3 linked regions of the Drosophila melanogaster genome follow. Changing the gene in region 3 together with the main gene of any one other region gives a genetic interaction. Each region holds a gene or a part of one and is shown on either strand. Other genes may lie near its edges.

What was found.
Region 1: of sr (region 3) and ac, changing one enhances a phenotype caused by changing the other (phenotypic enhancement), as found in Drosophila melanogaster (one study listed by BioGRID).
Region 2: of sr (region 3) and ptc, changing one suppresses a phenotype caused by changing the other (phenotypic suppression), as found in Drosophila melanogaster (one study listed by BioGRID).

Annotation. Positions count from the first base shown.
Region 1 is NC_004354.4:368,185-371,485, reverse strand, and holds ac (achaete), read right to left. Parts: upstream 1,456-3,301; 5' UTR 1,393-1,455; coding exon 787-1,392; 3' UTR 539-786; downstream 1-538. UniProt on the Drosophila melanogaster protein: AS-C proteins are involved in the determination of the neuronal precursors in the peripheral nervous system and the central nervous system.
Region 2 is NT_033778.4:8,647,972-8,652,686, forward strand, and holds the start of ptc (patched), read left to right. Parts: upstream 1-1,677; 5' UTR 1,678-2,450; coding exon 2,451-2,579; intron 2,580-2,725; exon of another isoform or gene 2,726-3,082; intron 3,083-3,279; exon of another isoform or gene 3,280-3,525; intron 3,526-4,715. UniProt on the Drosophila melanogaster protein: Segmentation polarity protein. Acts as a receptor for the hedgehog protein (hh). Associates with the smoothened protein (SMO) to transduce the hedgehog signal leading to the activation of wingless, decapentaplegic and patched itself.
Region 3 is NT_033777.3:18,089,236-18,093,804, forward strand, and holds the start of sr (stripe), read left to right. Parts: upstream 1-1,567; 5' UTR 1,568-2,219; intron 2,220-4,569.

The sequences.
Region 1 (3,301 bases), on a different chromosome or scaffold from region 3:
TTGCCGACCGTTGTTTTTTCGCTTGTTTCGGCTGCATTGCGGGAATAACTCAAAATTAGTTCATTCATCGATCGATCGATCGATCTCTCCGGAATTGTGAATTCTCAGGATCTTATTACCTTGACCGGTTCATATGCAAAAATGCAGCAGGTAAATATTTTGCCTTTTTCACCCTACTCAATCCAACTTTATTTATGCAAATCGGCGTTTTCGATCAAAAGTGTTTACAAAATGTTATTGTAATTTATCTTCATTGGCTAGTGATCTGTAAATACTTAACGGTTACAGTTTCGAATACTTTTTTCGGGCTTACCCCGAATAAAGCGTATACTAGGATCGTTTAAAGGAATGTACCAGGTAAAAGGAAGCGTGTCCTGTGGTATACAGGACAGGATCAAGTTTGTATCAAAACATTGCTACGCCCATATTCATAAAGCATTTGTTCATTAAAACTTTTCTGAATTTTACTCCTTTTGTACATAAATTTGTTTCACTTTAATTACCGTTTAATTTTGTTTACAATAAAAACTCATTTAAAATTTTATATATATCAGTTTAATGTCCTCAATGTATGCTATAAAAAAAAACTTAAATATAAATTGTCTTCCATTAGAAACTATCCTTAGAAACTATATAAAACCTTAAATACTAATTTATAAGGCAAAAAGGTAGTTCTAGGGAATATAAATACTTTGTGGCTGAGGTAATACTTGTTGGCCAATCAATGGTTTGATGTGTGTTATGGTTGGGTGCGACTAGCAATAGCTGAAGATTTGATCTGTTTTTTTACAGGTCGTCCTGCCAGAGTGATATATAGTCGAGGATGTCCTCATCTTCAGTACCAGAACTGCAGGAATTGTTACGGTAGTCTTCAAAACTGGCTTCCAACTTGGTATGAAAATTGTTAGGAGGTGTTGCTCCCGGAATCGTCGATGTTGCTGGCTTGCAATAAGAGCTAATGCTGTTGCAGGAACTTGTGCTGCCAGTTGGAGATTGCAACTGCAACTCTTGGTGCCAGGCGTATAAGTGTTGATGCTGTTGCTGCTGCTGAAAGTGCAAATGTTGCTGCTGCAAATGCAACTGTTTCTGTTTCTGCTGGTCGTTTTCATGAAGAACTTTCTGCAAGCGCCGTATGTACTCTACTGCCATTTTCAGTGTGCTAACTTTGCTCAGTTTTTTATTGGCGCCGGGACCAATTCCCCGGCGACCATTGCTTAAATCGGCTATTACGGCCGCAGGGATATGTTGTCGTAGTTGGCTGAAGCCATTGTTGACCTGCTTTACGCGGTTGCGTTCCCGGGCATTTCTCCGGATAACAGAGGGTCCATTAAAGGCCGAAGATGACTCCTCGTCGTCGTTGAAAACAGAGTGATTTTCGCTGCCCAAAGCCATTTTAAGAGATAGTATAACGTTATTGTGTGACGATGCTCCTTGCTTCAGCGCTGGCTCTGTTCTGATGCCCTTCCCCGTTCCGTTCAGGCTATTTATAGGTATCAGGGCCTAGGGATCCCACCTGCGTGACTACCTACCTGCCCCTGGAAAAGGTGCAACAGCATCATCACTGAAGGATCGTCTCTTGAGATGAGTGTTTTCTCTGATTTTAATAGAGAGGTAGTAATATTATCTCTCGTTCTCTCTGTAAAACGCAGCTGTTGGTGACCTGAGTGTTCCCGTTGTCGAGTGGGAAGAGTTTCTGAGTGTTTTTGCTCATTTTCAGCTGCCTGTCGTCCCCAAACGAAAACCTGGCCCTGTCGCGTGCCGGCTGCCAACCGGTTTAAAAAGGCAACAAGGTCCAGACATCAGAGCCAAGTAAAAACACCTCCGAAGTAAAAAGCTGTATCTCCTATTGAAAGTGGCCATCCAATTTGTATAACTAACAAAATACAACAAAATTAGTGGAATAGACTGTCATTACAATTATAAAAATGGGGACATTTACAATTTATACACTACCAAAAGTGTTTACGAAAAAATAATCTTTAATTAACAAGGCTAGGTATTTTAGACTTTTAAAAAATCTTTAATTTTATGTTAATACATTTAATTTAATTTATTTTATGTACTGATGACCTTCCGATCCCTGGATCATTCGGACATTATCTTAAACACTAGACCATTGTCGCTCGAATCCAAAGTCGTAGGAATTTTCAAGGCCAGCTCATCAACACCTCAGGCGGCGATCCATTCGGTCCTGCAACGAAACCTGATCAGCCGGAGGCACTTTTCTATTAACACTTCTAATGCCCCGGGGCCTTTATGCCCAACGTATCAGTTGTTGTTCCTCTCAGCCGAAAGCATTTTGAAAGCATTTAGGAGGTCCCCATTATTTCTTAAAACCATTGTCAGAATTCTGGTTGCACGCTAGGAAACCGTGCCGAAATAGATTTGTATTGGCACTAACTCACACTGAGCCTCGTTTAACACTTCGTTGCTGTAGCCCCGGGGGATTGCATAGCATTACATGTGAAAAGGACATCACAGGGCATCTAAGCACAGACATACCAGATGTCCAGAGGCTAATAAAATCAAACATATCCGGTCGACCTTGCAAAATCCGTGTTGATGTAATATAAATTTGCCGCGAAGCATTGAGACAAGGTATTCAGTGTCAACCAGGTTTATGAATTTGCAATTTTATTATTATTTTTTGCTTTGAATATCGCTTAGCGCCACAAGTGCTCTTCTTGAGCTTTTCTGCTTGATAACGACTAAATAGTACAATAAATGTTACTAAGACCCTGCGACAGAAAACCGAAAAATCGTGACGGGATAAACTTAAGGGGGGAAGAACTGAGATCTGAATATATGGCGTATCAACCGAATAAAGATGAAGTCGTCATTAATATTGACTCGGTCTGCCGATTACTTGACGTTGTTTCATTTATTCCACACTTCTTAAAGCGGCATGCTTGCGACACAGTAAGGCCTCGATTACAGGACAGCTTCCGTACATTTCAGTACCAATGTTGATCGTACAGGTATTCTAGCCGATAAATGAAAAGTATGTACAAAGTATGTACTCATGTTTATTAGGGTCTTCAAAATTGGGAGCTTAGAACTGTAGAGCCTACGCCTAGGTGCCATTGAATTAAATGTTGCTGCTGAATAAATAAAAAGTCAACTGTCAACTGTTCATGGCCATCAAATTGCCATCCAGAGATTACCGATCTCCGGACGATGAAAGGACGAAAGCCGCCCATGGTTTTGGTTTTGAGTCCCCCAACTTCCCACTCCATATAAATATCTGATTTATGAGAGCAACGCGAATATGTCAACGAAACGATGTCACATCTAAGGTGAG
Region 2 (4,715 bases), on a different chromosome or scaffold from region 3:
TTTTTTGATTGTAATAGCTCGCTTGGTGGTGGGTCCACATTCACATCTCCCTCTCCCACTCTTTCTCCCCGAAAGAGAGAGCGGGAGCGAAGGGGCACGAGGGGAGCACGATGACTATGCAGTTGCATTCAATTTGAATTTCCATGGTGCTGATGATTCGAGCGCCAATTTTTTCGAAGAGTTCTTATTTGTTTACTTCGTTGTTGTTGCCTCAATTGGAAAGGGAAAATGTGGAATGCGGAGAAACACCAGAAGCAAATGCATTTCCATTCATAAATCCAAAGAAGTTTTAAAGATAACATGTCATTTGGCTTAAGTTCGTGGTGCACAAAAAAGATCGGTTTGCGGTTGTCGCATGAAAATGAGTTTATTCCATTGGTATATTATTATTCAGAAATTAAAAAAAAACTTGTTTAGTCTATTTTTTTTTTTTAAATAAAAAAAAAAAATTCTTTTATAAGTCGATTTTAGAGTAAATATTTAAAGACTACGTCTAATAAACATATAATTTGTTCTGTGTTTTAATTTGCCGGCAAAAACAAACCTACTTGTGTGGTCCTCGCACACTCATAACCCCTCGCATATTTGAGATTCATGGGGCAAAGAGGCTGCAAAAACAATGGAAAGGGAAAAGCAGAAACATCCTGCCGCTCATAATTTAGCATCGGAACATGCAAAAACAGACATCATCGCATGGGGCAGCAGCAACAGCCATAAAACCAACAACACGAGCAATGTAAAGCTAACAAATTTGCCAACAGTTCGCGGCACGGCTACACACACACACATGCATGCGCAGCCTGCCACGCACGCGCTTCCCCCAAACAAATACACACACACACACTGAGACGAAAGCTCCATTGGGCAGCGCTGCCGACGCTGAAGGCCGACATCGGCAGAGCTGAACGTTTGGGTAGGGGACCACCCACATCGCTTGGCGGTTTCAGTTTAATGAAGGCAGAAACAAATTTATTTTTGGGTGGTCCACACTGCAGCGAAAATAAACTACAGTGGCAACAACAAACCAGCAGCCAAGGCACTTTGGGTGGTCCATGCAAAAAAAAAACAAATTACGGCATGCGAATAACAATAGAAATTAGCGCTCTCGTGGCGGAGCTATTTGGGTATATTAGAGCTACATATTTTATTTGTTTATAAAAAGTATAAATGTAAACAATGAGTTCCAAGCATTAAGTCCGTATGCTCAACAATTACATTATCATTATTATTATCACTTAAATATTTACAAAGGATATTTAAACAGTAATAGATATATATTTTATTTCTTAATTTCTGTTAACATATGTATTTACATTGGTAGTTATTCTTTATTTTGCAACAAGCATTCATAAATTTTATATAACAAACTTGGTATTTTCTCGGAAAAACTCCTGAATCACCCCTCGGTATTTTGTGCGTTGAGCTATCGTTAAAGCAGCCCTCGCAGAGAGCGTTCTCAAACCAAAATGGCCGCACACGAAACAAGAGAGCGAGTGAGAGTAGGGAGAGCGTCTGTGTTGTGTGTTGAGTGTCGCCCACGCACACAGGCGCAAAACAGTGCACACAGACGCCCGCTGGGCAAGAGAGAGTGAGAGAGAGAAACAGCGGCGCGCGCTCGCCTAATGAAGTTGTTGGCCTGGCTGGCGTGCCGCATCCACGAGATACAGATACATCTCTCAGACTGCGTGCGATCCTCGAACGAAACGGTTGTAAGTGCGGAGCGCGACGACTTGTTATTCGTATTTCCGACTACTGGCACTCTCTGTGTGTGGTATACTAACAAGATAGATATCACAGAACTCGTGGAAAAGCTAAGATATTGTACCTCACGGATGCGAGGCGAAGTTCATGGATTAAATGCCAGGCAACAACAAAAGCCAGCCAACCAGCCAGTGTTTGTGTGTGTGCGTCGCCAAGTGCAAAGTAAAGTAAAGGTAAAAGAGCGAAAGGCGAGAGAGAAAACCGAATACGTGAGTCGTCCGACTGCCGCTTTTCCATGTGTAAAAGATCTGTGAAAATTCTGTCAAATTCCCCTGAGAAATTGTGCCCAAGATAAAACCCGAAAACCGCGTTTTAATCGTCGAAAAAACCCAGCAAAAGCGAAGCCAGCAATCACAACAAAACAACACAACGAGAGCTCAGATACACAGCGTGCTCAGTGAGTGAGCGAGAGAGCGCGGGAGAGAGCGTCTCTTGATTTAAAATACAAAATAATTAAAAATAAAAATGCGGAATGCAGTGCAAAATGCAGCCAAACAAAATACGAGATTCCAATAACAATTAATCGAACCGAAAGTCCACGAACAATCCGCACACTGTCTCCCAAGTCTCAGTTCTCAGGACGCAGACGAACGGCAGGCACTGTAGAAAGACCGATTCCGCAGCACACTCCCATCTGCACATCTCCGCCACGCGATTCCGTCCGGAATCTGGCTATAAACATAACCATAATGGACCGCGACAGCCTCCCACGCGTTCCGGACACACACGGCGATGTGGTCGATGAGAAATTATTCTCGGATCTTTACATACGCACCAGCTGGGTGGACGCCCAAGTGGCGCTCGATCAGATAGATAAGGTGAGTGCCCAACTACAGTGAACTTTCACTGTGAAGGATAGCCATGTGTTGAATTCAATAATATTCTTGAATCGTATTCGGAGGATCCTTTATAAGTTTAAATGGAAAATCTGGCTCTTTCGAAACTTTTGTTAGTAATCCCTTTTACTTTAAATTAAGCAAAAGATTTGAAGTATTAAGTAAATTTACAATCTTTTTAAAATTTGAAATTGTTATATTGTACAATTCTTGTCATTAGAATATTGAGACACTTAACTAAAAACCATGATGTAGAAGTTCGACTGTAAATCCGAAGAGCAGCGGCTTTTGTTTAATGCGGCCATTAAGTCGCCGGGACAGATTTCAATAAATTTTATTGCCAATATCTCTCGCAATATTTTTCGCGTTTTTTTCGTCGCCGATGTCTTCTTCGCCGGTCGTTTCGATTTCATTTCATTCGTTTCGTTTTCTTTCGTTCGATTCCCTGGTTAATATAGTTGTCTGATGTTCGCTTGCCAGGCAGCCTATTAATTACAGTGATTAGTTGAAATCCACGCCAATCGGCTTATATGCTAATTTTGCTATTTCGTTCTCTGGACATAAAAAGCGTGGAGGATTTACCTCCAAATATAGACATTTGTTTATGAAACTATTCGCCGTAAAAGTAGACGGAATAACCCTTTCGCTGCAGTCTAAAACTACAACAAATTGGATGTTTTACCAATCTTGTTAGTATTTATTCTCTGTGCACCGCCATCAATCCACATCTATTTTCGCTGCGCAGACGTAGACACACAGCAGGACTTTCGTACTCGTTTCGCCGATCCCAAACCGACCGATCCAACTCCAGACGGACATATCCACAGACAACTTCATTACTTTGGCGCTACTGTGCGCGGCTGGTCCGAAACCGCAAACCGAACAATAACAACTGCAACTGCAACTGCGGCGAGCGCCAAAAACAGCTAGGCAAAAACTGGGCAGCAGCAGCAGCAGGAGTTCCGTCCAGCAGTCGAAAGCAGCCGAAAAGGCAAAAAGCAGAAAGCTTTGGCAGCCGCAGCAAAAATAATAAACAACGCCAGCAACAACTTGCCCAGCATTCTGCTGGTGTGGGTTCGTATCTGTGTGTGTGGTTGTGTGTTGCCTTCCAACATGGGTGGGCGCCGAGGTCTCCGCGAGAGTCATTTCGTACGTGATGCTGCTGGCTGGACTGCCATTGGCCACCCCCTTCCAGCCGCTCTTTTCGGAGCCGCCCCACCCCTCCATCGCCCCAATGCCCCACCGCCCCAGTCAACGCTCCTCAGATGCTCTGTGATACGAGTTGTGGGGCGACTTCGGTTGGGAATTCTTCGCAGATTGATTAGAAGCATGCGTGACGTAATGAGTAATCTATATAATTTCGAAACAATTTGCTTTTTGGCTCTGCACTATGAGATTGATTAGCAAGCGTTTAGTCTAATTAAATGTCAATAAATGAAGGGCGCACATATTTTCATTACTATTTATATAGATTTTTTTTTATTGATCTTGAAGGTATAGTTCAGAAGGTAATATTTCCAATATAGTTGTGAACTCTAAAAAGAGCAGCATGCAGTCTTATATCCATTTTCGTTGCCAAAAGCATTTCAGTTTGCTGCTGTTATTCCCACCCATGCAAATGAAGCAGCCAGTGATCGTTTTTCGGGTTGGGATCGGGCCATTGAATGCGGGTGGCCCAAAAAGCGGAAAAAAAGAAAAGAGCCAAGGAAAAAATTTTACTGACGCACGCGCTTTGTTGTTGCTGACTCTGCTCGCGCAGTGACTTCCAAACTGTGCTACACTGAAAAAGAAACAACCGTTTACAAATAATAACGCTTACATGGCAAAAGTAAGAATTGATTTCCAGACAGAATTGATTTCCTAGTTAAACTTGCGAACTTTACGATAGTTTATCCTTAGGGTTAGTAACATATTTCAAAGATGGAAGTGCAGTAAACATTTTGAGGAAAACTCAGTTTTTCTGTGTGGACCGCCTCAAGTTTTCTCGCTGCTTCGCTGATGCTTTTTACAGCTTGATGTCTTCATCATTGTTGCAGTTGCAGTTCCTTGGCGACCGCGTGGCGTGTCTTGCTCTGTTGTTGTTCCCCCTCATTCCCCCGCCCCATCTCGTTTCCCCAT
Region 3 (4,569 bases):
GGGGGGGTAAAATATGAATATGATTAGAAGCCAAAGTGCGAGTGTGTGTGTGTGTGTGTCTGTGTAAGGTGAGCTTGGTGGGCGTTTTTAACTCGGCTCTCCGTCTCTTTCTAGCCGCGTTTCGCTGTCTCTTTTCGAGTTTTCATTCACAATCTAATGCCGGGCTTGATCCACACCCACATTATTTAAAGTGGAGCAGTGCACAGAGGGGCTCTGTCCTTGTCTCTTTCTCTTCCAGTAGCTCCATCTCTTTCCGCTTCCTTTCTCCACCTGCACCCTTTCTATCGCTCTGTCTCTTTCTGCGAGCACAGCTGCAGTATTTTGCAATTCAATTTGCAGTCAGCTGAAAGAGCGAGAGGTAAAAGTATGAATTTATCAATGAAACCACCCACGTGACCCCTTTGTATATACACATGTGTGTGTGTGTGTATGTGTGTTTGGCGTTTTTTTTGTGTGTGGGTGTGCGTTTCTGTGGGTGCTGTTGCCTCTAAAGCTTTTTTCTAAGGGGGCCCAAGCTTTTTTCAGCCAATTAGCTTTCGTTGGTGTTATTTTTAGCTGACTAGCTTTCCAGCAAAAGCTTTCAGGATTGATAGACGAATTTGGATTTCGATTCCAGGAAAACCCTTAAAGTTTACTGCATCCGTAAAAATCCTGGCTAAAATATGTATGTACATATGTATGTCTGTTTGCACAAGTGCATTGAATGACGCAGATTCTACAAGTATCCCTATGAAAGGGTTTTGCACACGTGGAGGGGGTTTTGATTCTACTAAGAGGGTTGCGATCAAGAGTGTTGGCTAAATGTGTGGGCTTTTAGACCGAGGAAAGCCCACACAACCACTCGTAGAACTTGGCACGTTCCGGTGCACTGAAAACAATTTAAGATGACTTAAATGAAGATTATTGATAAATAAATAATTCCTATTTACAAAACACTTCTTCTAATGTCAATGAAAATATTACATATATTGGTTTACTAACAGCTGAAGAGGATTTAGAAATACCAATTATTTAGTTTAACTAAGATGAAGGCACGCAGGACATTTTTGACACTCACACTTCTTTTCAGTGTAGGAAAACGGCTTAAGAGTAATCCAAAGGTGTTACAGCCTTATGCTAGGCGATAGAAGCTCAGCGAGAGAGAAAAGCACTTTGAGGCGTTGCGGGGGTTGTGTGTGTGGTTTGTGGTGTTTGTTGTTTGTTGTTCGTTGTTCGTTGCCCCACCGGCAATCCCCCGGTCATGAGTGCGACGAGGACGGCTAGCTTAGCCCGTCCGCATGTACAGTTGTGCCCACACACGGCAGCAAGAACAACAACAACAACACTCAGACGAGGCATCTCAACTGGGCGACAGATCTCTAAGTAAGGCGATGATCAGCCCACGACTGCCACACACTCACACACTGCCATCGCAAACGGATACAGATACAAAGCCACGTACAGGTACAGATACAGTGAAACCGAGGCAAAACAGTCAAGGCAGCGCTGCAAAGCGAAGCAAACCGTATTTTTTAATACCGCCGACAGTCGGACGACGGATTGAATCGCAAAAAAAAAACGCATCGCAACCGGAAGGAAATTATCGTCTAATAAGTTGAGCACAATAAATTCGAGAATAAAAAAAAGAGCAGGGGATCTTATAGCCCCGATTTACGCGCCCTGTGCATGAGATCGTTAAGCGAATTAAGCCGAAAGATAGCCCGTAGCCCAATATCTCGACTAGCCCATCAAATTGCGTGTTTCAAATCAAAATTGCATAATCTGCACCGAAGAAGCCGGGAACTAGTTGCCAACTCTTCGCTAGCCAACGAGATCGCGATTACAGCCGGTGGATATCTTTCGCGTAATCGCAGTAGCTACGTCGCTTCCTTTGACTTGGCCACGTTCTATACAGCTGCGCATCTTATCTTATGCTTGGCCATCTGAAGTTTCAGAGTCGCAGTTGGCAGTAGTTGTTGCAGTTGCAATCGCGGTTGCGGTTTATAGTGAGTCGCGCGTGCGTTCGCCTTTTTGGCCCGCCTCGTAATTAATTACAAACGCAGTCGCGCGATCCGCAATCCGCGCGACTGTTGGACTACAGATGAAAATCCCAACGATCCTGCCTATTTACGCGCCCAAATCTTGATGCCCTAGCCAGACCAGCTTTCTGGGCGCTTGCGTGCTCTGTTGTCGCCGACTTGCCTCCGAATCGACGACATCTGATTGCCTTTTTATAGCTGGTAAGTAGTAGTAGTAGTAGACCCTGCCTATATTGCCCAGCCATCCACCATCGACATCTGAACAAGTATATTAATGGTTACAGCGGGAAAGGGGTGATTGTCGGTTTGGTTATGGCCTCTAATGGCCTTTAATTGGGGCGAAAGCCAAATATAAGGCTTTATTACATATATATGATGGGGAAAATTGAAGCGGGGCCGAATTTATTACGGTCATGTTACATTAGTTTTAATTTATTAATAAATTGTACGAATATTGCCCGAAAACATATATTCGTAAATCCAAATTATTTTATTGGATGATTTCTTAAAATAATTCAATAAAGGTAATTAACATAAAATATTTTGTGATTTTCATAAATTCCTATTTCACAAAACCATAAAGGTTTTTAGCCATTAGCTAAACCAGATTTGTTTTCTATTTAATTATTAAATATAAAAATTCATTCAATATTTGTAGTCTCATTGAAAAACCTTACATTTTTAATGATGAATGAGATGGAAAAGATTACACATCTTCGAAATTTCTGTACAAACCGAATCGAATGAGATCATTTTGCATAAAATTATTTACACATTCCTTAATATTTAGGAGCTGTTTTTGCCAAATACCATTTGCAGATAGACTCCATTTGCATTTCGAAAGAAACCTGGTTTTTTTATGAAGCCGTCGAATGTTCGAGAAGTCAATTGAATTTCGTGGTTTACCTCCATTCAATATGAATGGAAATAATAACTAAAATTAAAACTAATAAAAATATACAAAGATAAGGCTTAATATAATGATTTATGAAACTTTTACAACATATTGGTTGTTTTAAGTATACTTTTGTTGGCCTCTTGTTTATCTTTTTTAATGGAAAACTCAAAGAACAGCCTTGCAACAACTTCTTTTTGGCTCAAACACAAGCTATTTGACTGAATGACGAATTGCTGGTTATGGCCTAAAATATGAAGGACGTTAGTATGCGTAGCCCACGCGATACATATGTATTTGCACTCCTGCAGAGCGACACGTGCGTAAAACAAATCAATTAGCGCTGCCACATGAAAAGGTTAAAAGTCACGTACACGTGTTCCGTGTGCGAATGTGCGAGGGGCACAGCGCGGGGAATGCTGCTCATATGTATAAGGTCAACCGGCAATTGGTAGCCGCAAATTTTCTGCAACAAGTTGAAATTGCCTGGCTAATTAAACACGCAGGTGTAACGAATCCAGCCAAAGCTTCCGGCCAAATAATGCGGTTTAAATGGAGTCAGGAGCAGCTGACATTTGAAGCGACTCCCCCACAAAGGGGCAGAGAAACGGAAGGCAGGACCTTCTCCTGTGAATACCGAAATATCAAAGTTCAACCGGATAACAGGGCGAGCTTCTTTGGGTTCAGCTGCTCTATTCGCTTAGCGGAAAATCAGGAAAATTTATGAATGAACTTCTAGTTGAGCGGACACATCAACGGGAGCTTTTTTCATTGATAAGCTCAATTCAGTTTTTCGCTTTCCATTCCATTCATATATTTATCCGAATGTGACCGGCAACCTTTGGTCTGCCATCGATTGGCGGGCGGTGGGTTGGCCAAAGAGCAACAGGAGCCTCCAGCCGCAGGACATCCCACACACGTGGCAGACGTTTCGGGAAAAGGGCAAGGCACCAGCATCCTGTATCCATTCTCCCGAGACTCTTCTCGAGTGGAAAATGCTAGTAGCTTCTGGCTTCCTTCTGCACAGTGGTTCAAATCAGTCTTCAAATGTGTACAAAAGCTTTGGGTACCTATCAGCTATTAACTATTTCAAATCGTGTAATATAGTGTATATAATATAATAAATAGGGTTTATAGTGTAATTGTTTTAACTTTTCAATTTAGTAAATATTTATGACCACACTGCGTATGATTAATATAAAGCAATTGATTAATTTCTCACATTATAATATTTTGAATAATAGAAAGTATTCACAACTTTGCCTTACACATTAACATTTAGAGATTTTCTTTTTTCCCGAATACATTTATTCTAACAGTATTCATGGGCAGTATTAGCCCACTGTGCCGTATCTGCCATTTAGCTGTGCCCCTGCCCTTAACTTCATCCTCATCTTCTAGTCAATAATATCTGACAGTGTGGGCGTTTAATCGCATCTATTAGCATCCCAGTCGAGCATTTTCTTACACGCCCACGCTGGAAATTATTTCCACTAGGAAAAGTGAAGTAGAAGTGGAGCACATTTGGCGAAATGAAGGCAGGCAATCAACAGGTCCAGCTTGGATAACCTTATTGTTCTCGTTTTCCCAGCCAACGAAAATGTCCCTTCGGTTTTTCCACCTTCCAGGAAGCGCTGTCCCCTCGTTATTATTATT